Linked DNA regions of Neurospora crassa OR74A. The protein of the gene in region 3 interacts with the protein of the main gene of each other region in a pairwise test. Links are inferred from orthologs where the notes say so. Each region holds a gene or a part of one and is shown on either strand. Other genes may lie near its edges.

Region 1 (3,172 bases), about 1.6 Mb from region 3:
ATAGAGCTGACAAATTACTAGATCGCTGTTGAGGAGGCCATTCCCTACCAAGAGATCAAGCAGAACCCCTACACGGTACTTTGCCTCACGTCTCTCGGCGGACATCTTTCATGGTTCGAACTTGGTGGCGGACGATGGCATACTCGTCCTGTAAGTTTCTTTTTGCCTCACTTTCCGGTAACTTTTTGCTGATTTGTTGTCTAGATCTGCAACTTCCTGAACAAGATGGCTTTCGATATTGACTTGGACGCCATCAAGCCGGATGCTTGTGACAAGTTCGATAGCCAGTTCAGAACTCACTTCGACCCTGTGCAGCGAAAGTTGCAGATTCTCGATGTGGATCAATAGATGGTGGTGGAATGAACACTTGAAAAGAACGAAGACTGTACATAGATTAGCTATAGAGATGGGTCCATCGATTGGGCCTAAAGGGTCTAGACGCGCTTCAAGGCACATTGGGGCTGCACATAGACTTAGATTCGCGCTTTCGACTTGGATACAGGTTCGAACGTACGTTCATTGATGGCTTATGCGAGCCACGAACTACACCATCCTGACGGTTTCACCTAATAACATCTACCGACTCATGAGAAAAAGAGGCTGGACCAAGGCTGGCGTGCCCAATTGGTATCTTTAATTTCCACACACAAAATCAGTCAGAACTGTTCCCCCAGCCAAGCCATCCTACCCGCCGCCAGACTTTGATTGATATAAACGCCCAGACGCCATACATGCGAAGAAAAAATGCTTGGTGTAGGTATTACACGACAAACTTCCACCCTTCCTGTCTTCATTCTCCCAGCCCATTCCCAGGAGGGACCTTCAAAGCTCCCAGCATCCTTGCTTGATTATTTATTCGGGAGCAGCGAAGGATACCGACTTCTTCTTTTTCGACTTAACGGCTTTCGTGCCCGCAGACGAGAACTCCTTGACATCTCTGGAGTCATCGTCGTCGTCGCCCTTGCTACCGCCCGATTGCTTGCTGCGCTTACGCTTCTTGCGCAGCGAGTCCTTAGTCTCTTCGAGTCTGGCCTTGCGCTCAGCCTCCTTCTTCTCGGCTTCAGCGCGTCTCGCCTCGCGGATCTCCTCCATTTGTCGCGCCTTGATCATCTTGGACTCGATCTGGCCCTCCTTTTCTGCTTGTACGATGGCTAGGATAGTGGCCATGCTCTCCTGTACAAAGGGGGAAAACATGTCAGTTACTTGATGCTTTCCGGTCTTGAAACCTAGCAAGAAAACAAAAAACCAATATGACCCCAGACGCTAACGAAAGACAGCTTACCTTGTCATCCACAAACACCTTGCCCTTCTTCTTTCCCTTTGGCTTGGTCACACCAACGGGGGTGATCATGTTGAGTTCCGGAATCGCAAGCTCCTTTTCGCTGTAGGTCTTCTTCTTCTTCTTCCTGGCGATAAGCTCCTGGATGTTCGGTCGGCCCTTGCTGGCAGTCACGAGAGTGTGAGCTTTGCCCTTCGGCTTTCCCTTGGACTTGAGCACTCCATCGTTCCTCGACCTCTCCGCATCTTTGCTGCCCTTGATGCCGGATTTGTTCGCAGCGTGCTTGTTCTTTATCGTTTTTGTCGGCGCCATTGTGAGTTGTGGTTGATTCGTTGATAAGGTCGTAAGAAATCAACGATAGATGAAATGGTGGTTCGGGATATGGATGGGTGGATGGAGTACGAATACTCTCGAATGTATCCTGTACGCTGTCGCTTCAGTTCGGTCGACTTCTGGGGAAAATTTTGGGACCGGAATTGGTCCCTGCCTTATCTTATCGCGGTTAATCCAAGGTACCTCTAGAGCTTGTGCATATAGCACTGTATCAACGCCTGCTGAGCGCGGTTACGGGGCAGTGGGGTCTGTCAGCTCGCCGTGGGGCTGCCTTGAAATCTCTAATTGGCAGCTGGGGATCGGCAGGCGAGCAGGAAACTCTAGTTTCCTTCTAGTGTAAGCGCGGGGTTGGCAGCACTAGTGGAGGTACCTATTCCATATCGATTGCCTATCGGTGCGTTCCCTCACTGGTGGCACTCCGAAATCGCCAAAATTTCCAAGATCACCTTTATTGTCGCCATCCTTACATCGCAATTGATCACACTGCCGTGGTGATATCCCAAGAGTCTACAGTCCCCAGAAGTCTCAGACGCCCTATTCAGACAAAATGAGCACCGAACAGCCCGCGCCCCGCTGGGCCGCCTTTGCACGCGACACCAACGAGACCAAGATCCAGATCGCACTCAACCTTGATGGCGGCGCATTCCCTCCCGAGACCGACGCCCGCTTGAACGTCAGTATCGCCGACGGCCATGCCACTCAGGCTAGCAAATCGCAAACTATCAGCGTCAATACCGGCATTGGTTTCCTTGACCACATGCTCCATGCGCTTGCCAAGCATGCCGGCTGGAGTCTTGCGCTTGCTTGCAAGGGCGACCTTCACAGTTAGTAGACACACTTGGCTTGGGCGCAGAAGTCCTCGTGGAACAACATCCAGAACTCTGAATTGACTTTGTCCCTCTCATAGTCGACGACCACCATACCGCCGAAGACGTCTGCATCGCTCTTGGTTACGCCTTTGCCAAGGCTCTCGGCACACCCACCGGCCTCGCGCGCTTCGGATCCGCATACTGCCCTCTCGACGAGGCCCTCAGCCGTGCCGTCGTCGATCTGTCGAACCGTCCCTTTGCCGTTGTCGACCTCGGTCTTAAGCGCGAGAAGATTGGCGATCTCAGCACCGAGATGATCCCCCACTGTATCCATAGCTTTGCCGGGGCTGCCCGCATTACCGTGCACGTCGACTGCCTCCGCGGCGACAACGACCACCACAGAGCTGAGAGCGCATTCAAGGCGCTTGCGGTTGCCACGAGGCAGGCTACTAGCCGGGTGGCGGGTCGCGAGGGTGAAGTTCCTAGCACCAAGGGAACGCTCAGCGTATAAGGAAGTGGGAAGGGAGTTAGTTATAGGTTTGGATATAGAAGTGCAATGATACCATGTGATGTCGTTTACCGTGGTACTTTGCGCGCATGTTCGGCTGCCATCATTTCGCTATAGCGACGGCGTAGAGTTGAAGTGAAGAATGGAAAACCAGATACATGTTGCGAATTGGCGAATGTATACCTAGGGAATTTACCCCTGATGCAGGTTGTTGACAAAGTTCCCCTTTCGGAAAGTCGGACG
Region 2 (4,024 bases), on a different chromosome or scaffold from region 3:
ATGTTTCACAAATAAGGCTGTTGTGGAACATGAGAGCCGCACGCTTACACCAACAAGGGAAATGAGAAAGACACTCCATGAATCGATATGACGATCGTCATCAGACAGCAAAAGATTTTTCACCTCACCAATTAAACTCGCATGAGGCTGAGGGGAAGCTACGGACATGCCTCGGTTTAATGTACAGCCGCCATGGTTCGGCAAGTCTGACCCGACTCGGTGAGACAGAGCTAGAGCAGAAAATAGAAAAGATGAAAAGAAAAGAAAAATGATGCAAAGGTCAGGATGGTCGGCTGAATGGAGGTCGAGGAGGGAAAACAGCTGATGGCCAACTGAAAGTTGGAAATGTCTTGGGAAGGTGCAGTGGAGGAGGCTCATTCTCCAAGTGTTATCACATAACAAATGCGACCGCCTGCTTTTAGATCTCCAAAGAAACTGAAGTAATACCACATTCCACTGTGATCATGATGGGTTTGGTCGACAAAAGTACCCGTTGGTATGGTGGTGGCTTTGTGTCTGCCAGCCGCCATTGAAATCACTTTCACAGCCATAAACTCGTAGATATCCAGAATCGTTTCAACAATAATAATTCTATGCCAAAGCTAACGTGTATACTCTCCAACAACCTACACCTAGAGTCTCGTAGACATAACAAGACAATCCCTTCCGACATCACCCTTTCACCAGCTATTTGATACTTTTGATGCTCTTCTCCAGTTCCTTCACACTCTCCCTCACCTTGGGGCAGTAATGTCTCCTCAACAGCTCGCCCTCCCACACCGTCGACGCGAATGGGTTGCTACCCTCCACTGTCGCCGCAAGTGGCTTATAAGTGCCGTCGCCCTTCCTCTCCTCCGTATTCCAGAGCGAGCTGATCTTCCTGCCGTGCGTGTGGAGCACGTCGGCGAGCAAGCCGAGAAGCGCCTGGGCTGACTTCTCCGGCACCTGGAGCGATCCGGACATGAGCTGCTTCGTGAAGGCGGCCAGACGGAGCGGCGCCACGGAGCGGATGTTCCAGGGCGGCAAGAGGATGCCGCTGAGACACTTGACGAGCAGGACGGTGGTGGTCTGCAAATTGATGCGGTTGTTGCGGCGCACGCTGTTTTGGAGCTGGAGCGACTGGGCGCCGAGTTCAAGATCCGGGTTAACGGAGAGAGAGAGGAGGGACTGGAAGAGGTGGGTGATGAAGAAGGAGAGATCGAGGTGAAGGTCCGAGCGGGCGTTATGGGCGTCTTGGCCCTCGAGAAGAGCAAAGGCGGTGACGGTGCAGAGGAGGGCTTCGCGGCTGGTGTCACGAACGAATTCGTGCTCGTCGTCTTCATCCTCTTCCTCTTCCTTGTTCTCGTCGTCCGACTCGTCCTCCTTGTTGGCGTCCTTTTCACTGTAGCGGATCAGGTCTTTTAGGGCCTCAAGGAGATCACCAAAAAAGTCCTGGTTAATCAGGTGGGAGTATCTGGCGAGACCTTCAAGACAGGCACCCATGAGGTTGGGAATACGCATCTTGAGGATGCGGAAGTACGAGGCGAAAACCATCTTGAGCGTTTCGGACTGCATCCGCTCTCGCTCCTCGTAGCTCACAGCTGCGTCGGCGTGGGCCATGACCTTTTCAGCCTCCTTCTGCTCCTTAAGAAGCTTGCGCTCACGCTTGGTGCGGAACTCCTTCTTCTGCTTCGGCTTCTTGACCGACCCATCGTCCTGCTTCTCCACCGTGTCTCTGGAAGCTTTTCCGGAAAACTCGCTAAGCAAACGCAGGTGGAGGAACAGGTTCAGGATGCTCTCGTCAACCTGGTAGTTACGAGCCTTCATCATCTTTGTGAGTACTGAAATGGCCTCCATGGCGGGTTGACCATCCTCATCCTCGTGAAACAGGGTCTCGAGAGCGGTCCGGCACTTGATAAAGTCTTTATCGATATTTCTGTAGCTCAGCTTCTTGATGAGAATCTTGAGAAGCTCACCGCGGAAGTTGAAGTGCGGTACTGCGTTCAAAAGGGTGCAGGCGCAGGTAAGGGCGATGCTGGAAATGGGCTGCTTGGACTTGTCGCGAATCGATCCACCGGCGAGGGCAGCAAGGGTCTTGATGTATTGGTAGTAGCCGGTCACCATGGCCTGTTCATAGACGCGTAGCCGCTTGACATCCTTGGACAGCTTCTCTTTGGCAACATCCTCCGAAGCCGGTCTTATCCTGTAGCCGGGAATGACATCCTTGTAGACGGTCATCTGGACAACAATGGCGAGCTTCTTGATGGCGAGAAGGTCCGACTCTCCAATCTTGGCGAGCGCCTTGAAAGCACCCGGATGCTCCTCTGGGTCTTCATTGAGCTGCGTTGCGATCTTGGCCATTTCCTCCTGGGCTCTCCTGATCTGTTCACGCTCGGGAATCTTGGGTGCTTCTGGCTCGGGCTGAGCCTCCTCCTCCTCAGGGGCCTCCTCCCCTTCACTCTCCAACCACTCGGCATCGCTCGCAATCTCGGCGTCTTCCTCTTCCTGCGTCACCCAGGTTCCCTCGGCAACTCTGATGGGCAGTTTCGTGGCATCGGCGACCTTCTTCTCCTTCTTCTTCTTTCCTTTCCTGGGGCGGTTCTCATAGTCCTCCTCGAGGTTCCAGCTCTGTGCACTCTTGAAGAACTGCTTTTGAATTTTGACGTCGCTGGTTGCTGCGCCGTCCGAGGACTGGCCTCCCTCGGTCAGCTTCCTCCGCTTGGAAGGATGGGAAGACATGGTGGTGGCTGGTGATGGTCTGTGCAGTTGGAGGGTTGTGAGATGATGTGAAGTGAACCTGAAACACTGAGTGTGGGCGGCTGATCGATGTGTGCTGAAGACAGACTGAAGTGAGACGGGAGCGAGCGGTGTTCTGGAGTGGAGATGGATGGGTATCGATTGTTTGTTCTTCACTGAGATGAGGAACCGCTCAGGAACATTTTCCAAACTTTTTGGACCCTGGCTGCCAAAGCTGGGGGTCTTATCGGCGGGATGTGGTTGGTTTAGCTTTCTTATCGGACCCCACCGCTTGGGGAAAAAAAAGTTGCTGAACCATGAACGGCCATCGATTGACTGCACTTTGAGTTTTGCGGTCGAGTTCAGTTGCTTGCGCTGGAGCTTCGAGTGGCCGCACCTCCTCCTCCAAGTTTGAATTCCCTTTCCTTCCATCCATCCAAATAGGAACCCACCGACGGGGCACTCTCCGAAAACATCAACCTCGTCGCAGCAAAGAGAGACCGCGGCACCTAATCTCTTTCTCGACCACTGTACACACATCCAACCTCCCGTAATCCCAGTCTCTACCCCACGATACACAATCGAGACTGCACTCTTCCCCGTCTCCCACCACGCGCCGAAAGGCCGATCGAATTCCCACTTTGCGACGCGATCGAAATATCGACGTCGACTCTCCTTGACGATAGTACCATACGATAACCATAAAGCCGAATCGTAGAAACCAACACCCAACCATGTCGTCTTTGGCCTCCCAGTTGGCCCAGATCGCTGCCAACTCGCGGTCGACCCTCAACACCAAGGTCCTCAAGGCCGCCCACTCCAAGTCCCTGATCTTCGAGCCCCGCGTTGCCGCTACCCAGACATACCCCGAGATCTACTCGATATGCCTCGAAGGCTTTGAGGAGCTGTGCAACCTTGATTCGCGCTTCACCAAGTTCACCCAGTCGCTATGGAGCCCACAAAGCCAGGAGGCCGACAGGACACAGATGAGCGCCGCTGAGAATGCCGCCCTCGATAAGCATGTCGAGGCCTTCCTCCACCTGTGCGGCAGCAGGTTGCGTCTCATGCCCACCATCAAGGCCATCGAGTGGTTGATCCGCCGGTTCCGCGTTCATGAGTTCAACACGGCTGCTCTCATCGCGACCTTCCTCCCATACCATACCATCCCGGCCTTTGTGACCTTGTTGTCCATCCTGCCCGCCAACATCCCCAAGGAGTACCGCTTCCTCGACCCCTACATCCGCTCTCTGACCGCGCCCCCTCGCGCCGCCATTGTTCAGCAAGCGACGAACCGCCCCGAGCTGCTTAC
Region 3 (4,195 bases):
TTCATCGCCCTCAACTCCTTCTTCATACGAGGATCCACCATCTTGTACCTGCCCTTGACTATAAAATTGAAAAAACCGAGTTAGCATCATTCCAACATAAAGAACACACCAGATCTTAAGGTAGTGATAGTACGAACCTCCTTTAGGTCTGCCCTGGAGACCCTTGTTGGAACCAGCAGCCTTGACAACCTTGATAGGCGCCCTCCTCGTCTTCTTAGCAACCGACGCCATGAGCTTCGAAATGCTAGCAGCCTTTTCCTTTTCTGACATGCCATCGTCACCGGCAAGCATATCGGCCTTCTTCTTGAGCTTCTCCAGCCTCTGGGCCTGCTTGAACTTCTTCCTGGCCTTGGCCTCGGCCACCTTCTTGATAGGACGGGCGTTGTAGGCCCGGAGCTTCTCCTTAATGGCCTGCGCTGCGGCCTTGGTGATGGGCTTGTGCGGCTTGTCGTGCTTGGACTCGTCGTCAAGGAACCAGTCGGGAAGACCGTCGCGGTCCTTGAAGGCGTGCTTGGTGTAACCGTCGTCGATGACGTCGTAACTTGTCTTCTCGCCGGTCGCGAGCTGGTGGGCGAGGGTCATGGCCTCGGCGGTGATGATGTCGATGTCTGTAGTTGTCATAGTCAGCCATTGCCCTTAACAGGTCATACTGAAGAGGGACTGAGTGAAACTTACCAGGCCTGCCGTTCTTCTTCTTCTTCTCAACGTTCTCCCAGTCGTCATCCTCGTTGTTCTTGACAACCTCGAAATCGTCGTCGTCATCGCTCTCCTCGGCCGCCTTCTTGCTCTTGGCCTTGGTTTCCTTGGCTTCCTTCTTCTCCTTCTTGGTAACCTTGAGGTCCTCCACAGCCTCAACAAGCTCAGCCTCCTGAGCCTCCTCCTCCTCAGATTCTGGCTCCTCCAAAAGTCCTGGTATCTCCGCAAAGATACCTTGACTGAAGAAGTTCTTGGCCCGCTTGGACAGACCATCCTTCTCTTCTGGCTGGCCGTCTAGATCTGTTATAAGTTTCTTGCCAGATTCACCATCCTCTGAGTCGGAATCATCATCACTGCTGTCCACTTCTAGTTCCTCATCGTCATCGTCGTCGCTACCCTTCTCCTCATCGCCAGATACGCCTTCCCATTCATCGTCGCCGTTCTCTTTCCTGGCCTTCTTGGCACGGTACTTGGCATCGGCCGCCGCCTTCCGCTCCCGGTACTGATCGTACAGGTTGTCGAGCTCTTCCTCCAGACGATCGGCCTCCTCGTCGCTCTCGTCGGTTTCGCCGTCGGAGCCAAAGTCGTAATCCTTCGGTTTCTCGGTCTCTTTGATAACGGCCATCTTGCCCTTGGCGATCTTATTCAGGGCAGCGTTCTGGTCGATAGTCTTGAGACGGAACATGGCACCCTCACCACGGGGACCTTCCTGCTCCACACCAATATCCATGGGCGCAGTCATGTTCATCTGCATGCGGACAATCTCCTTTTGCTTCTTCTCATTCTCGCGCCTCCTCTCGCGCTTCTTCTTGGAGGTCTCCTTCTCCTTGATCCTTTGCAGCTCCTCCTGGATCCTAAGCTCCTCATCCATGTTCTCCACTACCGCAACCTCCTCGTCCACAGCTGCCTTCTGGGTCTTCTTGGAGGGGAAGCCGAAGATCTCCCGTACTTTTAGACGCCATTTTAAGAGAAGCTTGAACTCTTTCCTGCCGAGCACTTTGAGATCGGCGCAGCAGAGACGGATTTCTTCGGTCGTTTCGGGGAGCTTGTCGAGGGCAGCCAATGCTACATCGCCGTTCTTGGGTTGCTCAAAGCTGAGTTTGTTGTACTGGCCGAGAATGGCGATGGGATCGACAGTGTTGATGAACTCGCTGGCAGAGATCTCCTTGAACTGGGTGTAGTCTCCCTCCTCATAACCCTCTCTCTTTCTCTTCTTGACTTCGGGGTTGTACACCTTGGCTTCGTTGTTGGGGGCGGGGCCGGCCACATCCTCGAAAACGGAGCGGGGGTCGAGAAGCTTGGGGTCAATGCGCTTGGGGGCCTTGAAGCCGCGGCAGACGACGAAGATTTCGGCGGAGACGTTACGGGACGAAGGGGGCTTCGTAGCCTCGACCTTGGCGAAAAGCTGGTTGCAAACCCAGAGAAGGGAGTTGTAGTCCTTGGATCTGAACACCTTGGTGACGAACGTACCGCCCTCAATAAGGAACTCGGTGGCCAGCTTTAGCGAGTGCAGGGCAAGTTCGGCCTGGTTGTACGAATCCTGGACCCAAGCAGTACCGACGTTGGGCGCACCATCGTGAAGAACGACGTCGGCCTTCCATGTCTTGAGATGGGAGCGGATGGTTGCGCGACACTTTTCGGTGGTGATATCGCTCTGGAAGGTAATGACCTTGGGGATGGGCTTGATGGGAGCAAGATCGACACCGATGATGATGGAGTTTGTCGGCATAGTCTCGGCGCAGACTTGACACCACGACTAGGGACGGACACAGACATGGTTAGTTCACTCCATGATAAACTGGATGTTCACGACTATGACTTACACCGGGCGCAGCGCAAAGATCGAGAGCGACCTTGCTTTTCTCGAGGAATCCATACTTCTTGTTGAGCTGGATCAGCTTGAAGGCGGCACGGGCACGATAACCCTTCTCCTTGGCAAGCTTGTACCACTTGTCAAGACGGCCCTTGCCGTGTTTCTTTTGGATCGCCATGGTGCCGGTGCTCTAAGTCGGGGGGTGTTTCCGACTGGTGTTGTTGAGCAGGACGACCTGGTGACTTTTTTGGGTTGGTGAAAATGGCAGTCCGGGTGCCCTTTGACTGTTCTTCCCTCCAGCACTCGCAGCGCAGGGATTGCAGGGTCGTCGTTGCAGAATGATTTTTTTGGATGACAGCTGCAGGGCGATAAGCGATAAGAGACTGGACTCCGGCGGCTGGTGGGGCAACGAGCAAGACGGGCCCCATCAGGGTGGGCCAGACATCCCGCGGTTGAAGTGCAGTGCATTGACCAATCTTCATGTCTTCAGCAACCGCGATTTATGGGACGAAAAAGCCATTAAGCTTTCGCGATGCAGCGCGTCATTTGTTCCCGCGTCTTCGCGTTCCCCTGATGGAGCACTAAACCGCATTCCTTCTAGGCGCCTCCCCCCCGACCCCCGGCCGCTACGGACCGCACGCCCAGCCTCTGCCCACTGGAGGAGGTGTTCAATGGAGTCCATGGGTGGTCAGGCCAGGTCAGGTCAGGTTTCCATGGCTGTCGATTTGGTTGCCCGGCAAACCTAGGTACTCAAGTGGGAACTCAGCAAAAGCGTAGGTACTTCTAGGAACTGAACCACGCAAGGGAAATCCACAACAGAAACGAACAACCAAATCCAATTCCATCACATCTCCACCTACGCATTCAATTTCAAGTCCATACTACCAAGGACACACTTACACCAGAAACCGACATAGACATACCCCTTCCGGCCGCACCACTTCACTCAGAGGACCCATACTACTACGACCAAATCCGCCAACCAATAAACTCGGCGCCAATACCTTACGCCCCCCCCGGCCGCCTACCTTGTCTCTCAACGACGACCTCGACCTCCCGTCCTTCTTCAAGCTCAGCCTGCTTGCTGCACACAGCCTAGCCTGCAACTTCGACGTCAGCCCTTGTCCAATATCCAGTCGACACTTGCCAGCAATACCTCTGCGCCAGCTGTTGCTCAACTGATTCTGTACAAATATCCATCACCACAGCCTGTTCTCTGTCTCCGCGTACCCTTGCCATCGGCGGCCCCTCGCTGCCAGGTCGCGCGCATCCAGCGTCGCCGGCCCCGTGTACATCGTCTCTAGGTATCGTGTTGCATAAGCGGCCTGGACCCAGCTCTTCGCTCTGGTAGTCGAAGAGAATCCTTTCGCCATGGCCGATAACTCCAACAGCACTTCAACCCCTTTGGGAGTTAAGAGCTCGTCGTCGTTGAACACCAGCAACAACATTCCCCCCATTCCGTCCTCTCCTCCTCCGCGAAGCGCAGCCAAGGAACGTCGAAACCCGTCCATCACCCCCCGGAAATTCAGGCGCTTCTTTACTCCCCGAGTCATAGCGAATAACCACCCCAGCGCTTCCCAAAGAGCTCTTCGTGATCTAGCCGGTCCTCTCATAGAACGATCTCATACTCCATCCAGTCCTCTCAGGCCCATCTCGGAAGAGGAAATCCCAGATGTGTTACCGAGC
Region 4 (4,052 bases), on a different chromosome or scaffold from region 3:
CCGAACCAACCCAGGTCTTCACAATTCAGTCCATTTCTCCACCCCATCCTTCCAATTAACCCAGCTCTCCTTCGCAACCTTCCACTTCCTCACCACCTACCTGACCGTCTTCCTCCTCTCGCGACCTCCCCTCTCGCTCTTTGTCCTCGCTCCATCTCTCCCCGAGACACTCCCCTCAGCGTGGCCATGTCCCTCGATGTGATCCTTCCTCATTGGCTAATAGCTTTTAATTCTGTAACCTTCTACCAAATCGCTTGGATCTTGCTCACGCCAATCGTGGCGTGACGAATCACGTTCTCTACCACTCCGTCTTACCCGAGAGAGCCATGTTGGCTTTGGTCCCAGCTTGTCGTGTGCGGGGTGTGGATAGTCAGTCATTATGATATCCTATCTTTTACCTCTTTCAACCAAAACCGTACCTGGTTCAGCAACAGATCAAACCCAAAAGCAAGTCGAAATCATAACCCTCTAGGGCATCCTCTTCTCACTTCTCGGCATCCTCGGCTCGTCCCTCTACACCATCTGGATCGCCCACTATCACCGCAACTCGGCGGCATCTCCAGCTTCTCTTGCCGATGATACTGAGCAGAATGGCTGAGATTTCGTTGCTGGGTTAGATATCCAGTGGCTATGCTCAAGGAGGAAGCCAAGAAGGCTGGTCATAAATCGTAGAAAGGGAGAGGAAACCGGCGGTACATGCACAGAAAATAGGTAGTCTTGAAGTACAGTCATAGTGACCTGATGTTGATGAATCATGCCTTCCTCCCAAACCCTTTTGTGAACCGATAACGCCACATACACACTTTGAACAAGACAAATACTCTCCAGTGCCAACAGAGACGATGGCATACTGAAAGAAGGGTATCACCAATACTACTATCATGATCAGCCCCCTTAGAGGTTGAAGCGCGTGCGAACCTTCTCCATCTTGGCCTTCCACTCCCACTTCAAAGCATCCTCTCCTTCGCTGCCAGCCCGACCGATACCCTTATCCACTCTACGAAGCTTGAGAGTGAATCCTATCAAAACAAGTCAGCCACTTTCGGTTCATTCGCCAAAACTTTTGTTTTCCGCGGTAGCAAGACTTACTGGGTCCAATCTCCTGCAAACCAGCACGGATACCCTGCATACCCTCCATCTCCTTGCCCTCCGCAGTAACCACGTTCTTCTCCGTCGTGCGGGCCTCGCGGAAGACGTAGCGGTGGCGGCGAAAGAAGATGTAATCACGCTGGTTGTGCAATGTCACGACCTGGCGACCCGAAAGCTCGGGCCTGGGAGGGAACATGGTGTGCATGGATTTAGCGGCGAGGATACCGAGAGGGGTCTTGAATCCATTGAGGAGAAGCTCGGGCTGTATTTTTTTTTTGGTTGCAATGCTTAGTCTCAATGTCCTGTAATTAATGGACTTGGGGATTAGGATGGACGGCTTACGTAGTGGTTTGTAGGGTTACCGTGGCCAAGGAGAGCCTTTCCAGGCAGGTAGTTCCGGATGGTGTATGTCAACGAAGGACCAGGGGCAACATCTTCGCCGTTGAGATGGATGACGGTCAGGGAGCTAGGCTTCTTGAGATCTTCGCCGACAATCATGAGAATCGTGTATCCACGGTCTGTAACAATTCAGGCCTGTGTTAGCAATTTTCTCTTGGGCAACAAAACTCCAACCTGGGTGCGCTACTCACTCTTGGCAAACTTTGCGATCTCGCGAACACTATACTTGTGTCCATACGCGTGCGCACTGCGTCTGATGTACGTGCTGTTGGGAAAGATGGCAGCAATGTCCTCCGCCTCCTTGTGAATGGTGCCGTTCAAATGGGTGGTGACCAGAATCTTGGGGTCGACTGGGGGTTCCTCGTTGAAGAGATTGGGAAATTGTCGTGTGAGCGAGTCGGGAGTCATGTCTAGATTTGTCGACGTGGTCGAGGGAGCGATGCTGGGTTTCCTCTGCGCACGCTCCTGTCTGAGTCTCTCGATGCGCTCCTCGGCATCTTCGTCGTCGTCGTCACCCTCCTCGTCCGAGTCCAACATAGAATCGGCATCGTCGTCCTTCTCCTCATCCTCCTCCGTGACTCCATCGGCTAGCCTGGCGGCCTCGGCCTCCTCCTTCTCCAAGCGCCTCCTCTTGAGCTCGGCAACATCCACAGCGACGCCCAGGCTGTCGTCGTCAACGTCATCCCACACGCGTTTCCTCTCAATGGTCAAGGGTTGGTTGTTTGCGAGGCGCTCTTCTCTGAGTTTGGGATCCTTGGCCTCCTCCTTCCTCCGGCGGTGACGCTCCTCATGGCGTTCCTTTCCCTGCTCCTTCTTTTGCTTGACGTATAATTGCTTTCTGACAATCTTGTTGGAGGTCTTGAGCGACAGCGATCCGCCGGAGCGGTTTTTGCCCTTGTTACCGGACGGCATATCGGCTACGATGTGGTAACACGGCGGTGGGATTAGTGGTTGTCGCGGTGTCAAAATTGTAGGGTAGGATCAATTCTCCAGGTCACAGTTCAAACTTCGACGTGATGCTGGGCAGTTGTTGCTACCTCTACCTGACGGATGAATTGAACGGGCCCGGTAAACTTTCAACTTTTTTTCTGGGCCCAGAGCCATCAAGGGCGCCAAGACGTGCATCTACAAGGGTACCCCAACAGCTAACGCACGGCCTCAGCCGGGGACAGGTACGTACCGCTACCCCTCAGTGTACACTACTACCTGACTGTCACCTGCACAGGATGACTCCATCCCGTCCCTTGCTGTAAGTTGGGACGGAAGCAGAATTTTTGGGATGAAGAACGGCGGCATCACGGACTCTTGATAATCAAATATCAATACCTCTAGCCGATGAAAAGTCACAATAACGCTAGCCAGCGGAATGCGCTTTCTGTAAGGGAGTTACTTAGGTAGGTAGAGGTAGTGTACAGTAGCATGTGCAGTTCCACTTCCTGATATGGCTGGTGGATTCCAGCGAGTCGAGCCTTCTGTCGCGTACCGCGCCGCCACTGACGGCGGCTCGAGAGCGGGAATCTGGACCGCTGTCCCTTGGCTTAGGTTGTCTGGGTCGTTGGTGCCGGCCCCTCCATGGCGCCCCTCTACCCCCCCAAAGAAAAAAATCATCCCGCGATTCGGTTGAAGTACGTGTTTCAATTGAAAAGGCCTCGACGAAACCTCAGTGGGCGACCGTGACTCACTTGGTTCCCTTGAGCACTGTAACAAGACCAATTCATGCGACCTCTTGCCCGTCTCGCCTCCCTCCGTTCTCCTGTTGCTGGTCAAGCATTCAAATCGACCTTATCCACCCGAGCCGTCGCCAGTCGAACTTCTTGGACCCCGGCGCCCATCCCGCGGATCTCTTCGACTTCGCTCCGATCCTTCTCCCTCTCTACCTCGCACCATCGCTTCCAAGTCTACGTCAAAAAACAAAACACCAAGATGACCTCGACGGCCACCACCCTCAAGGGCCAGCCCCTCGACAAGGGCGCTCTCGAGTCCATGCTGCGCCGCCGCATGTTCTTTGCGCCCTCCTTCGATATCTACGGCGGTGTTGCTGGCCTCTACGACTATGGCCCGCCCGGTTGTGCCCTCCAGGCCAACATCATCGACATCTGGCGCAAGCACTTTGTCCTCGAGGAGGACATGCTCGAGGTTGACTGCACCGCCCTGACCCCCCACGATGTTCTCAAGACCTCCGGCCACGTCGACAAGTTCGCCGACTGGATGTGCAAGGACCCCAAGAACGGCGACATTCTGCGCGCCGACCACTTCGTCGAGGACGTTCTCGAGGCCCGCCTCAAGGGCGACAAGGAGGCTCGCGGCCAGAAGGTAGAGGACAAGGAGGAGGACCCTAAGCGCAAGAAGAAGAAGGCCAAGGGTACCGAGGCTGTCAAGCTCGAGGACGCCGTCGTCAAGGAGTACGAGGAGATCCTCGCCCAGATCGACAACTACAACGGCGAGCAGCTCGGCGAGCTCATCAAGAAGTACGACTTGAAGAACCCCGCCACCGGTGTCCAGCCTGAGCCTCCCGTGGCCTTCAACCTTATGTTCCAGACTGCCATTGGCCCCAGCGGCAACCT
Region 5 (4,143 bases), on a different chromosome or scaffold from region 3:
TAAAGCCAGACCAAGCCTTGACCTCTGCCAGTGAGATCTCGATGGGCGATGGGCACCTTGACTGGGTGAAGAAGAAGCGAGAGACGACCTAGGCGAGCAGTCGTCAGGCTTAGTGGGACGATAAACCGGGATGGCGGTACCCAAATGACTTGATGTTTGGGAAGAGCTCCTCTTCATGTCTCAAGCTCGGTCCTGTCCATTGAATGGTAGAAACCGCTGCGGCGTCTAAGTTGGTCGATCGTAACGCACAATGCCTAGTTTGGCGGCAGTCGGGAGTCGCGGCGGCTATGATGATAGTGAAAGATACAATGACGATACCTATTGAGAGATGGAAGCAGAGCGGGGAGGTGGGAAGACGTGGATGGACTTTGTCAGTGTGTTGAAATACGACAAGGTGCAGTGAGAGAGGACGACTCGGAGTAAGGTAGCTCCATACCTATGCATCACCTGAACTACCTACCCATTAGATGTGCCTCCCTTGCCCCAGGTCAACAACACTGACCTCTTGAGGCACAGACAGGGCAGGTACGACTTCAATTCTGAAGAAAGCCAGTGTTTGTAGCCAACTGTCACGCTTTCCTGGAAGTTATTACCGTCCGTCAATCAAAGACACTTTCCTCGACATCTCGAAACATCCAAGTTTGCCAAGTCCGAGTCGAGTGTAGGTAACGTAGAAATGTTGCGCCTTTGCAATTGATAGACGCAATATAGAATAGATCGTGCCCCATGAACGATGTACAACCCAAAGTACAGAAAGAAATCCAGACCCAATACTTTTGACATTATGCTGTTGAAATGACATTCCCACTTCCTTGACCAAACCCAACATGAGCGCAAGGAAATATGTGCTGACCAAAGAAATCCCAAGACTTGCTAGCCATAGAACACGAAAGGTTGTGGATGACAACCGCCATAGAAATCGCGACGCTAGCCAAAGCCTTCCTACCCCACGCTTCGAAACGTCACAATCTACTTGATCTCAAGGAGCTTGACGTCGAAGATCAAAGTGCTGTTGGGGGGGATGCCGGGAAGGGCACGGCTGCCGTAGGCAAGGTGCGCGGGGATGGTGAGACGACGCTCACCACCGACAGCCATGCCAGCAACACCGATGTCCCAACCCTTGATCACCTCACCCTTGCCGAGCTTGAAAGAGAACGGGGCACCCTTCTTGTTGGCTGTATTGAATATTAGTCTCTAGTCAATACTGTGAGAGTGATGGAAAAGTGAGACTTACAGTCGAAGACCTTGCCGTTCTGGAGCTTTCCGATGTAGCGCATGCCAACACGGTCACCGTTCTTGGCGGCACGGCCGGTGCCAACCTTCCTGTCATCAATGGTGACGCCCTGGACAACCTTGACGGTAGAGGTAGGCTTCTTGTTCTCAAGCTTGTCCTTGGCAGGGCCAGTAGGGCCCTGCTCGAGGTTCTTGGCGAACTGGACCTTCTTGTCGGACTTGGTCTCCTTCTTAGGCTCCTCCTTCTTGGCCTCCTCAACCTTCTGCTTCTTCTGTTGCTTCTTGCTGAGCTTCTTGTCGTCCTTGGAGATCATGGCATCGAGACCCTCGGCATCGTCCTCGGCGGGGCGCTTCTTGCCCTTCTTGCTGGTGTCGACAAGCTTGGGAGCCTCCTCCTCCTCGTCTTCCGAGGTGATCTCCTTGACACGGGGGGTGCCATCGAGCTCGTCGAGCTCGTCGCTCATATCGTCGGAATCGTCATCCTCGCCACCAAGGGGAAAGTCGTAATCCTCGTCGTCGGACTCATCCTCATCATCCTCGCTGTCCTCCTCGTCATCCTCGGGAACAACGAAGTTACCGGTGAGATAGACAGAGTGGGTACCCTGGACACAGAAGAAGACCTTCTCACCCTCGCCGATGGTGATGTTGATGGGCTGCTGGTAGTTCTGTATATGGGGAATCAGGTTAGCTCCAAGAACTCAAAAATACGTTCACCGAATGGATGGGGCTTCTTACGCGCTCAGTGTCAAGGGTGCAGACAACGTAGTCCTCAAGCTGGAGGTCATCATCGCCGCAGCAGTCGCTCTCCTCGTCGCTCTCCTCCTCGTCGGACTCGCTGGCCTTGCCCTTGCCCTTGCCCTTCTTGCCGTTGGGCTTGGCATCCTCCATCTCCTCATCAGACTCCTCCTGGGTAGCAGCCATAAGCTTCTTGATGGCAGCCTCCTGCTTGGCCTTCTTGGACTTGGAAGGGTCGCTGGGACCACCGTTGGCCTCGTCGTCAGAGTCGCCGCCGCCGAGGAGGGACTGGAGGTACTCATCCTCCTCCTCATCATCGTCGTCATGGTCGTGGCCAGTGGCCTTGATGATCTTCAGGGTCGAGCGGGGGAGCGCGGGAATGTTGCCTTGGCCGTCAGCCTCAGGAGCCTTGGTGGGATCGAGGGCGGCCATGGTGATGTGAATCTGGAATTCATGTCGTTAGCTCCGTGTAACCCAGTCCAGTGGAGCGCCATTGCCTGCGAAGGAGAGGGCCAAAGGCTCCGAAAAGTGTGCACTTACGATAGCAGGGAACTCAGAGGCGGCGGGAATGAGGATCTCGCCAGGAGGAACCTCCAAGCCAAAAACGGCGACAGGCATAAGGGGGGCCATTGTGAAGATTGGGTGGTGCTTTGCGCCGGGGTATCAAAAAGTCTAGATTTTAAAGAAAACTAAAGAGACAGGAACTCGAAGTCGTCGTCGGAAGTATACACTTCTAAGATTGAAAGAAGATGAATGGGCTGGGTAGAAAAAGTCTGAAGATGGATGCGACCAGTTTGACTTGGGAAAGGCAGAAAATGCGATCGAGGACGAGGGCGGTCGACAGGAAAAGTTCAGGCGAACTGCACTTGGAATCCAGAAAAATTTCGGCACCCCACCGTCTGTACTGTCTGTTACTGTAGCGATAAGACTTCCTTATCGGTTCACTGCCACTCTCCCGCTCCCCAAGCCAAGCTAGCAAGGGTATGTCGGTCAATGCAGGCCGGTCTGCTAACAAAAGCGGGGAAGAGTTCGACAAGCTCCGCGCTAACGTCGTGCGCGGACGCTTGATGTGCCTAGAGCTGGCATGGGAACCTTGCGACGACGGGATGTTCAAACTGCAACTCGTCATCACCGACTCGAGGTTTGAAGGTGGTCGCCGCGGGACTGCAATCTTTTGCCATCTGCAGGATTCATTGGTGCCAGAGCAAAGTGCATCAGGTGGGAGGTATAAGAATGAACACCATGCACCACAGGTACATGTCTGGAGTCTCCCGGCGATGCCATCCCACATCACATCGGTCCCCCAGGCTCACGGTTCACTCCACCTGAGTGAGAGGATTCACCAACGAAAGCATTTCTGAGGGATTCAAAGCAAGATTAGGTAAGCCCCTGGCTGAACCTTCAGGCACACCTTGATAACCCAGCATGCCACAGTCATCCCATCATCAACGCAATCGTCTCTAGATCTTGTCTCGATTTTCATATCTCTGCGGCCTCTCATCCACCTTAACGAGCTTCAATCCCGACTTAGCCACTGGGCCCGGGAAGTGACGGCTCTGCCTCGCGTAAGCCGCAACGAGATCATTGCCGTTGGTTACGCCTCCTATAGTATTCATCGAATGTCGGCCCAGTCTTCTGGGCCTAGTCAGGAAGGGATGAAAACAAACCACTAGAATAAGCCAAAGATTCCCATCCCCCACCCACCTCAACTTCTCCGCCACCCGAATAACGTCCTGGTCCTCGAATCTCGTCCGCAGATCTCCTTGCAACTCTCGCGGTCCACAGGCTTGCTTGCTTTTGAGTATCCCGGCCGCACCGCAGAGGTAGATGGCTGAGTAGACGCTTAGGATGTCTGTCATTTTCGTCTGGTTGTTACTGGTGTTGTTCGCATGCCCTGCCAGCCACGACAGAGCGGCTGGGCCCTCTTAGAGGTCAAGCTAAGGATTCCGGTCCCGGAATCAAGACGATGTCAAGCTTTCCTGGTGCCACTTCAAAGCGGATGTCTATGGAGGCTATCAGAGGGATTGGGTGATAAATAGTTGGACTCTGCTGATGTTTTTTGTGTCGTTTTGGGGGGGGGGGGGGGGGGGGGGGGGGGGGTAGTCAGCTATCATTATCACTTCCTCTAGCGGTAGGTTTGTTGACCGCGGATCATCAATTGGAACCATTGAATAT
Region 6 (3,881 bases), on a different chromosome or scaffold from region 3:
GACGCCTACTTTACGCAGCAAGCGAACCAGCAGGCGGCGGTCAATGATGCGGATGCGTACTTTGCGCAGCAGATGAGGCAGATGCAGATACAGCAGCCCGGCGACAGTTTTGGTGGGGATGCGGGACATTATGGGTATGGACAGGGGTACGTGGTCAGTCAGAGCTCGGCGTACCAGCCGGGGATGGGGGGGATGAATGGCATGGGAGGGATGAATGGGGCTCAGGGGGATTTGTTGTTGTGAGGGAGTGTGGTGTGAGGGGTGCCTAGCTCCGAATGGAAAGGGGGGATGGGATGGGAAGGGGTAAGAGTGGGAAGAGAGGAGAGACAAGGTAGTAATGTAATAGACAGACTAGGAGTTGGGGAAGCGTGGTGAGTGTGTGATTTGGTAGGGTGGTGGGAAAAGATATCCAGTTAGGGTTTTTGGTTGTAGATAATGCGAATAACAAGTAATATCCCGTCACTACGTATGTTCTGGTGTGTTAATGGGCGAGTGTGAAGACATTCATGTAATGTCATCTCACTACAAGACTTGAAAGACAAAAACGCGAGCATAGGACCACTTTGAATGTTCCAACCTTTTATTGCACTGAAGACCAAGTGAGAAAACCGTAAACGCCAATATACACATGACAAACGTACTACTAACAAAAACCAAAAGGGAATATTTTGTAGAAGGAAAAACAATTACCAAACAAATCCGAATATGTATATGTCCGTAAAGCCCCAAAACTTAAACCCAGCCGAGCCGCTTCAAGCCAGATTGAAATCCTTGAAAGTCCACTTCTCCGTGACCTTTGTCTTGGCCTGCTTTTTGAAGGGAATGTGCCTCCTCGCCTCCACCTTGCCTCTAAGCAACATATTCCTGTACCTGTCTTTCAACAAGTTACCCTCCGGCTTGAGCAACCTCAGCGAATCCTGCAGCTCATCCGGCAAGACCAGCTCCAGATCCTTCTCGGGCAACTTGAACTTGCCTAGTTGCCTACGGCGCAGCTCGACGTCGTCATCTTCTTCAAGGCTAGCATCGTCCTCTTCGACATTGTTGGATTCGGCTTTTTGGAGAGCAAGCTGCCTCTCCTTCTCGGCCAGTTCCTTGGCAATCTGCTTGACCCGCGCGGCCTCGGCCTCCCTCTTCTTGATGGCCGCCTCGTGCTTCAGACGCTGCTCCTCGGCCTTGCGGCGCTTGATCTTGTTGCGCTGGGCTTGCGTCTTGCGCTCCGGCCGCTTCTTCTTGTTGGCCAACCCTTCCGCGTCGCTCTCGGCCCCTTCCCAGGCGGAATCATCCTCCCATTCCGACAGCTCGGCGCGCTTCTCGGCGGCCTCGGCCTCGGCGCGCGACTTGGCGGCCGCTTCGGCCTTGAGACGCTCCTTCTCGAGTTCCTCCAGCCGCTTCCGTTCGGCCTCCTCGGCCTTGCGCAGCTCCTCCTGGTAGCGCTCCGAGTAGTCGGTGAAGGCGGGGTTGTACGACTTGTCGCCCTTGGGCTTGGGAACGGCGGGGAGCTGCTTGCCGGTGGCGGCGAGGGAGATGGGTTGTTGTGTGAGCGTCTTGGGCGCCTTGGGCTTCTCGACCTTGGGCAAAAAGTTGAACGTTTCCGCGGCCTGCTGCTTCTTTTTCTGCTCTTCCTCTGGGTCGGCCCAGGCGTCAAAGGTGGCGTCAACGACCTCAACCGTGGTGGTGTGGTGGCCGTCGGCAACGCGCTTCAGGCGACTGAGCTCCTTTTGGGTGACGTAGGTGGCCCGCAGGCGCTTGGAGGGCAGGACGCCGTCGGTGACCTTGCCGGAGGTTTCAGAAGCCGGGCGCTTCTTGAGGGAGACGGCGGGAACGGCGGAGCGCTGGGCGAGGATCTCGTCGGCCTTCAAGGGCTTCTTGAGTTGCTTGGGGAGCTTCTTGGTGATTTCGGTGTCGGGCTTGACGTCGATGGCGAAGAGTTCTTCGGAGGTCTTCTCGGCAATGACACCACTGTTATACGATAATTCATGTTAACCAATTGGTGTCTTTGGTAATACAAAGCATCACAGAAGGAGCGCCGTACCCCTTGATAATCTGGGCGTTCAACTCATCGAGACCCTGCTCGACCTCTGTCACGTCGACATTCTTCCTCCACGCCTTCTTGCCCTTTCTCGACGGTTGGTTGTATTGCTTGGGGGCTTCGGGATTGCCCGACAAGGGTTTTAGGACGGGCATTTTGGATATGTGATGTGATGGTGTGTTGTGTTGTTGGGTTGACGACTCGAAGAAATCAAACGAGTCGGCGGAGGTTCGAGGCAGATAAGAAATTGGAAATATTGATACCTCGAAACCGCCTGGAATTCTGGGGTCTCCTCTGCAATCAATCCGACTGCCCAGTGGGGTGTGCAACTCAAAATTTCAGCGGCGACAGGAGGCAGCGATAAGATAAGAAAGACCTGCCCGAGACAGGACAGGGAAGAGCAACTTCATGGAACACAAGCGTCCAGCGCTTCAGTTCCCTTCCCCAGCCGTGCTCAGCTGGCAGTTGGAGCAATTAGCCAATCAGACTTCCAAGCTGCCTCGGCCTCTGGACAAATCCAATGACGGCCGCCAAGCTTCCATTGGATGCCCGGTCTCGGTCGTTTTGGTCAAGTGAAGTGTCGAATTTGTCTGGGCGCAGAAAGGCGGCGGGCGGCCACTGTTTCCCTCCACTGATCGCTTGGCGCGGTCCCCTTTCTCTCGCATGAGTCCGCTTCGGGGAAGAAGACTGAATAATAGTCGCAAGAAACACTTTGTTGTTCGAACTTGAGGTTATGCATAAACAATGGATAAAAACATGTAAACTTGTACATACGTACATACGGAATGTCGGTCAATCAATTAATCTGTATCCAAACAAAATATTAAATGTTCAAGTATTTTCTGCTCTCTGTGGTATCAACTCTTATAAAACGATCTCTCGACCCGATTTTTGTTTGGTAAACGAAGACTCGACGGACTGCAAAGACCCCAGCAACCAAGTCGGCAACGAGACCCCGACTGGATCCCAAACACCGACCCGATTGTCCTCCAAGCTCCCTTGTCATCCACCCCCCGGCCACCACGCCCCGTCCGTCGCACCACTGAGACCACTCAACGCTGCATGATCAGTCTCCGGCAACTCTCCGCCGCCGTCCATCTTCCACTTCGACGACCAGCAGACACCTATCTAACTCTAGACCAACTCCGACCGCCTACACTACTAAGCTTTCTGCCACTTAACCACCACCACCTCCTCCAAAGTCCGAAAGCTTCCTCCCCTTGATCGTGTTTCCGAATACCTTCAGCTACCTACCTACCTACCTACCTACCTACCCCGCCAAATACCGTTAATCCGCAAACACATCCATCACAATGGCGCAAGCAGGCGGGTCATACAACAACCCCTTGAAGAAATTCAAGTAAGACAACATACCCGACACTTTTGCAGACAATGCACTTAAGTCAAATGGAAGACAAAACAAGACAAGATGCTAACCACTCTTTCTCCTCGCCAGGTTGGTCTTCTTGGGCGAACAAAGCGGTATGCGATTACCTCAACCTACAACACTTTCTCCACGATGTTCTCCGAGACACCAATGCTAACTCAACGATTGCGCGCAAACAGTCGGCAAGACGTCGCTCATCACACGCTTCATGTACGACTCGTTCGATAACATGTACCAAGCCACCATTGGTATCGATTTCCTTTCCAAGGCATGTTCGACCCCCGTCTCCCATTCAATTCTTTACCGCCCTTCCTTCCCAGACAGACAATGCGCGACAGTTGCAAAGACCCAAGAACTAGTAGAACAAGATGAGAGCCTTTGGCTAACTTTACGGGGGGGAAAAAGACCATGTACCTCGAAGACCGAACAGTCCGCCTACAGCTCTGGGACACAGCCGGCCAGGAG
Region 7 (4,189 bases), on a different chromosome or scaffold from region 3:
AAAGTGAAGAACAGAATGATAAACTCTTGCCCTGGAATATTCAATAGCGCGGGACTTGCCTATTTACCCTACACAGCTCACCCACAATTCCACGAGACATCATGTAGAAAGTTGGTATGGTGCACTTGAAGGCTTTACACGTTGTTTCTTTTTTATTTTCTTTCAATGTGGCCGTGTTGTTAATTTTTGTATTGTTTGCGATTCCCTGTCGCAAGAACCACGGAGCCAGGCTTAACAGTCGTTCCACGGTTATACTGCAATTTCAGACAACTACATATGTACCTAGTTCTGGGCGCCAAGGCTCTTCCTCCACATTCCCGTCATTGCGAAGTATCACGCGGTTGGGGACAGTCCGTTGAGATACCTTCATATGCGATGACTGCATTACAGCCTATCCTATCCTATCCATACATGCGCGCGTCATGAATCGAAGGCTTCTGTTCACTTTCGAATTCTGCCCCTTTTCTTGAAGCTTGAAAATCCACGGGCCGCGCCGGATGAAACGCGCGCACCCGCACCACGCCGGCTGCTGCCCGTTGGCTCTATACCAGCAAACAACCCTAAACATCAGGCAAATGGCCTAGCACTTATTTCTTCCCCTTCCCTTGAACCTTCCACTTCGAAGCCCTCGCAGCAGCACGACCAGTCTTCTTCTTACCACCACCCGCATTCGGCGCCTTGTTCTTCTTGGCGCCCTTGAACTTGAGATCCTTAGGTTTTCCGTCTGCCGCACTAGCACGCTTACCCTCGAGAATGAAACTCTCGGGGGACTTGTAGGCGCCCGGGACTCTGGGACCGGTCGCCTCCGTGTTGGCGCCCGAGGCGTGATTCCTCCTTTGGTTGGCCTGGTATCTGTCCTGCTTGTTGAAAGTCTTCTTCTTGTCGGAGCCGATGACCTGTCTGGCAGTGAACTTGCCGAGGAGCTTCTCAGCGCGGCCGGCGATGGTCTTGGCTTCGGCGGAGATCTTGGGGGCGTAGTCGGATTTCTTGGAGCCAGGACCCTTCTTCCCGTTGTTGCCTTTCTTCATAGTTTCCGGAACGGCACCCTGCGCCTTGAGCTTCTTGGCTTCGATGGCACGCAGGGTCTTGTGAGGGGCCTTGCAGCGGCTGACGCGTAGCTCGCGGGGGAGCATGGGCGGGAATTTCTTGCCGTTGAGGAGGATGGCTGACTCGACGGCGTTTTCATCCTACGGAGGGGGAACAGAGTTGTTAGTTGATAACGGGCAAGTAAGAGACAGAGAGAAGTGATAACTCACGCAGAACTGAACGTAGGCGAAGCCCTTGCCGACACGGGTGACAGGGTCGCGGACCACACGAACGCTCTCAACTTTGCCGCCCTCTTTACCGAATACCCGCCAGAGACCTTCCTCAACGTCCATAGGCTGCTTTGTCCGCTTCTTCTTCTCGGTCACCTCCTTACCGTCTTCGTCTACCTTCACTTGCAGTACTGTCTCGTCATCCACAAAACCAAGGTTACCGACGAAGACGCAGCGCTTGTGGTCTACCGGGGCAGGATGGGCAACGCTGTCGACACGGATGTGGCGATCCAACACGATTGTGCCGTTGAGTTTCGAGCAGGCAAGACGAGCGGCCGCAGGGGTACTGTAGACAACATAGGCGTTTGTCGACTTCGTAGTGGCCTCCATCACGGACTTCTTGATATAAGCGGCACGCTTGGGAATGGCAGCGGTAGCGAAGGCAGTCGAGCGGAACCGTATCGACTCAACCTTTTGCGCAGGTTTCGCCTCCTTGTCCAACACTGAAGCCATATGCTTCATCAAGGCCTTTTTGGCCGAACGAGAGGTGACGGCCTCGACGGCGACATTGCTGAGGAAGACGGTGCGGTTGGCCTTCTCAATCTCGTTCTGGGCAGCATCGGGCGCTAGCGATTCGTGAACGGGGACCTCATCCGCAGACTCGCTGTCGTCGTCGTCCTTCTTCTCGGCCTTGGCGGTATCCTTCTTTTCTCCGGATTGCTCGTCGGCCTTGAGACGCTTGCCAGCCGGCTCTTCATCGTCCTCCGCCAACTTGGACAGGTATTTGTGTTCGAGATTGTCGTGCTGGTCGGGTTGCTTCCGCTTCCGTTTCGGTCCATCTTCTTCCGGGACCTTTCCTTGTTCTACAACAACTTCGAGGGTCGCGACGGCTTCGTCTTCGCTGTCACTGTTGTCTTCAGCCTCGTCGTCTTCGTCATCCTCTCCAATGCCGACCTCGGAATCGTATTCTTCGTCAAGCTCGCTCAGTTCCTCGTCATCGCCCTCGTCCTGAACGTCTTCCTCTTTCTTGGAAGGTACTGGCGCCTTCTTGGACTTTGTCGGTAGGGGCTCGGAGTATTTTGCAGCTGGGCGGGGCTTCGCTGGACCAACCTACACAAGATTAGCCATGTAAACTTCCAATTGCCTGTCTGGTCAGAGCGAGATGACTTACACTGGTAGCAAACAAAGCATCCAAGCTAGGATCAACCTTCTTCACCGGCGCAACGAGTCCTTTACTATAATAGTGGTGTCAGAATACTGGAAGAATGGCGTTGACTGTAGCGTAGGGCTGTTCGCACGTTTTACCCATTGTGAGTTTTCCGTCGTGTGTAAGCGCAATGGATGGGAAAGTGGCACGATTCGCCAATCAAGCACTTGTGATTGACTTAGTTCTAAGAGCACGGAAAAACAACTGAAGTTCGACGACGAGGCGAAAGATGTGATTGGCTGTAAATGCTGTCAAAATCGAATTGCAAAGCTTCCACTTCTGATTTCTAGCAGGATGTTGTACAAGGCAAGACCAGTTTCTATGCAGGCAGGTTCAATGGTCCAGGGTTTCAAAGGGTCGTCGTTTCTACCTTCCCCACTGCGCATCGTAAGGACGAGTCGAGGACCGTGGAACATCTTGCATCCTCCCATTAAAAAAAAAAACTCGCTTATCAGTTGTTATCAAAGCTGCCAAGACTCACCGCCTGCCATCGCCTTTGTGTGGTGCGCTGGGCTGTTGGAGACGGGCGGCGGCGGCAGGCAAGCGGGCAGGCAATGGAGCCCCCCAGAAACCTGCCGGTTGCCCATTTGTGTTGCGTGCTGGTGCGGTGCTGTGGGCGCTTGTCCAGCTCCCAGTCTAGGTCGTCAACCAGATACCTACTGCCCGCTCCTCACTCTCCCGATCTGTCTTCCTACTACTTTACCTACCCAGACCGCACGTTATCTCTTGACAATCGCGCCCTCGTACCGACAACAAAGCCATATCTCCGAGACATTTCATTGTGTGCGAGCACACATTTTAACCTTCCGGCATAAACACACTTTACCCTGATCGTGGCGCCACAACTTCAGGTGCTGCTCTTGAGCTGCCCGTACAGTTCGGACGTCCAGTCCGCCGTCCACGACTAAATTCTACGTGGCCGTCCAACTTTCCACTGCTCAGCTGCTCAACCCAACATTGGCGCGTCGTTGCTTAGTTTCAATCTCGTCGGATTCTATGATCCGCGATGGCTACCGGTGACACCGCGCTGTCCTTGGCTCTCTCGAGCCCCCCTCCGCCTCTGCTCCAACACAGCCCTAGCGATGTGTCAAGCCCACTTAGTGACGTGGAAGACAAGCATGGAGATCCTGACGACATGGATTTGGACATGAACAGTAACCACTCTCAACATCGCGAGACATCGGTCCGAACTGACAATCGCGATGGCGTCGACTCGGACCTTGGCGCTGAGACTGACGACGAGAGCAAGCTGTCGGACGTGGATATTAATGACTCCGAGGCAGAGACAGAGAGGCTCTACGACACACCACCGAAAGATCGAGTATCGCGCGACATCGTAGACACCGCGGGTGAGCCTGGCACTCGACAATTCACCGACCGCCGCGATCGGACGTTCGAGCGCAGCCCTAGCAAGCTTCAGCAGCAAATCAAATCTGATTACGAACCGGAAAACACTGCCAGCGGGCGAAACACTCCCTCAGAAGAAGCAGAAGTGGGTGACGAAGAGGCCTCGGAAGACCTGAGTGACGAAGAGCCTGAATTTGCTGCCAAACTACCACCTGCGCGATCTCCCGTGCTGGCGAAGAAAGTACAAATAGTTTCCGCCTCGCCTGAAAAGATCCTCACACTATCACCCCGACATGATATCCTAAAGCGGAAACGCTCCTCAGTCACCGAGCAACAAGATCTCAGCCAACCGTTCAAAAGGCGGACTGAGTCAAATACC

What was found.
Region 1: the proteins of NCU03669 (region 3) and NCU01301 interact in binary tests that used the Saccharomyces cerevisiae proteins (3 or more experiments, as listed by UniProt). The link is inferred for Neurospora crassa OR74A from reciprocal best matches to the Saccharomyces cerevisiae genes SPB1 and LOC1.
Region 2: the proteins of NCU03669 (region 3) and NCU00337 interact in binary tests that used the Saccharomyces cerevisiae proteins (3 or more experiments, as listed by UniProt). The link is inferred for Neurospora crassa OR74A from reciprocal best matches to the Saccharomyces cerevisiae genes SPB1 and NOC3.
Region 4: the proteins of NCU03669 (region 3) and NCU00404 interact in binary tests that used the Saccharomyces cerevisiae proteins (3 or more experiments, as listed by UniProt). The link is inferred for Neurospora crassa OR74A from reciprocal best matches to the Saccharomyces cerevisiae genes SPB1 and RPF1.
Region 5: the proteins of NCU03669 (region 3) and fkr-4 interact in binary tests that used the Saccharomyces cerevisiae proteins (3 or more experiments, as listed by UniProt). The link is inferred for Neurospora crassa OR74A from reciprocal best matches to the Saccharomyces cerevisiae genes SPB1 and FPR3.
Region 6: the proteins of NCU03669 (region 3) and NCU05233 interact in binary tests that used the Saccharomyces cerevisiae proteins (3 or more experiments, as listed by UniProt). The link is inferred for Neurospora crassa OR74A from reciprocal best matches to the Saccharomyces cerevisiae genes SPB1 and NOP53.
Region 7: the proteins of NCU03669 (region 3) and NCU09131 interact in binary tests that used the Saccharomyces cerevisiae proteins (3 or more experiments, as listed by UniProt). The link is inferred for Neurospora crassa OR74A from reciprocal best matches to the Saccharomyces cerevisiae genes SPB1 and NOP12.

Annotation. Positions count from the first base shown.
Region 1 is NC_026505.1:3,571,615-3,574,786, reverse strand, and holds NCU01301 (60S ribosomal subunit assembly/export protein loc-1), read right to left. Parts: upstream 1,721-3,172; 5' UTR 1,592-1,720; coding exon 1,283-1,591; intron 1,174-1,282; coding exon 853-1,173; 3' UTR 506-852; downstream 1-505. Other genes in the region: NCU01302 (hydrolase), read left to right, coding at 22-150, 205-348; NCU01300 (imidazoleglycerol-phosphate dehydratase), read left to right, coding at 2,160-2,436, 2,520-2,932. UniProt on the Saccharomyces cerevisiae protein: Required for efficient assembly and nuclear export of the 60S ribosomal subunit. Involved in asymmetric localization of ASH1 mRNA.
Region 2 is NC_026503.1:3,495,669-3,499,692, reverse strand, and holds NCU00337 (nuclear export protein Noc3), read right to left. Parts: upstream 2,884-4,024; 5' UTR 2,719-2,883; coding exon 688-2,718; 3' UTR 558-687; downstream 1-557. Other genes in the region: NCU00336 (U3 small nucleolar RNA-associated protein 10), read left to right, coding at 3,450-4,024. UniProt on the Saccharomyces cerevisiae protein: Required for synthesis of 60S ribosomal subunits and the transport of pre-ribosomes from the nucleoplasm to the cytoplasm. Also required for initiation of DNA replication.
Region 3 is NC_026505.1:2,021,320-2,025,514, reverse strand, and holds the start of NCU03669 (AdoMet-dependent rRNA methyltransferase spb1), read right to left. Parts: upstream 2,831-4,195; 5' UTR 2,688-2,830; coding exon 2,520-2,687; intron 2,453-2,519; coding exon 676-2,452; intron 609-675; coding exon 138-608; intron 59-137; coding exon 1-58. Other genes in the region: NCU03668 (WD domain-containing protein), read left to right, coding at 3,881-4,195. UniProt on the Saccharomyces cerevisiae protein: Required for proper assembly of pre-ribosomal particles during the biogenesis of the 60S ribosomal subunit. Specifically methylates the guanosine in position 2922 of the 25S rRNA at the stage of 27S pre-rRNA maturation.
Region 4 is NC_026503.1:3,739,847-3,743,898, forward strand, and holds NCU00404 (RNA processing factor 1), read right to left. Parts: upstream 2,539-4,052; 5' UTR 2,401-2,538; coding exon 1,680-2,400; intron 1,608-1,679; coding exon 1,432-1,607; intron 1,352-1,431; coding exon 1,090-1,351; intron 1,020-1,089; coding exon 895-1,019; 3' UTR 525-894; downstream 1-524. Other genes in the region: NCU00405 (glycyl-tRNA synthetase 1), read left to right, coding at 3,205-4,052. UniProt on the Saccharomyces cerevisiae protein: Essential protein. Required for biogenesis of the 60S ribosomal subunit.
Region 5 is NC_026501.1:5,029,349-5,033,491, reverse strand, and holds fkr-4 (FK506-binding protein 4), read right to left. Parts: upstream 2,858-4,143; 5' UTR 2,599-2,857; coding exon 2,509-2,598; intron 2,413-2,508; coding exon 1,969-2,412; intron 1,899-1,968; coding exon 1,235-1,898; intron 1,176-1,234; coding exon 970-1,175; 3' UTR 330-969; downstream 1-329. Other genes in the region: NCU16390 (hypothetical protein), read right to left, coding at 3,429-3,609, 3,673-3,827. UniProt on the Saccharomyces cerevisiae protein: Proline isomerase that belongs to an abundant class of enzymes that catalyze the cis-trans isomerization of X-Pro peptide bonds and can accelerate the refolding of proline-containing polypeptides. Specifically binds nuclear localization sequences.
Region 6 is NC_026504.1:5,668,342-5,672,222, reverse strand, and holds NCU05233 (60S ribosome subunit biogenesis protein NOP53), read right to left. Parts: upstream 2,417-3,881; 5' UTR 2,185-2,416; coding exon 2,033-2,184; intron 1,960-2,032; coding exon 753-1,959; 3' UTR 566-752; downstream 1-565. Other genes in the region: NCU05232 (AP-2 complex subunit beta), read left to right, coding at 1-243; NCU05234 (GTP-binding protein ryh1), read left to right, coding at 3,343-3,389, 3,486-3,511, 3,596-3,684, 3,822-3,881. UniProt on the Saccharomyces cerevisiae protein: Late-acting factor in the nuclear maturation of 60S ribosomal subunits, which is required for normal acquisition of export competence. Required for the export of the large subunit.
Region 7 is NC_026501.1:5,442,242-5,446,430, reverse strand, and holds NCU09131 (nucleolar protein 12), read right to left. Parts: upstream 2,868-4,189; 5' UTR 2,566-2,867; coding exon 2,555-2,565; intron 2,492-2,554; coding exon 2,428-2,491; intron 2,367-2,427; coding exon 1,257-2,366; intron 1,188-1,256; coding exon 588-1,187; 3' UTR 132-587; downstream 1-131. Other genes in the region: NCU09130 (hypothetical protein), read left to right, coding at 3,470-4,189.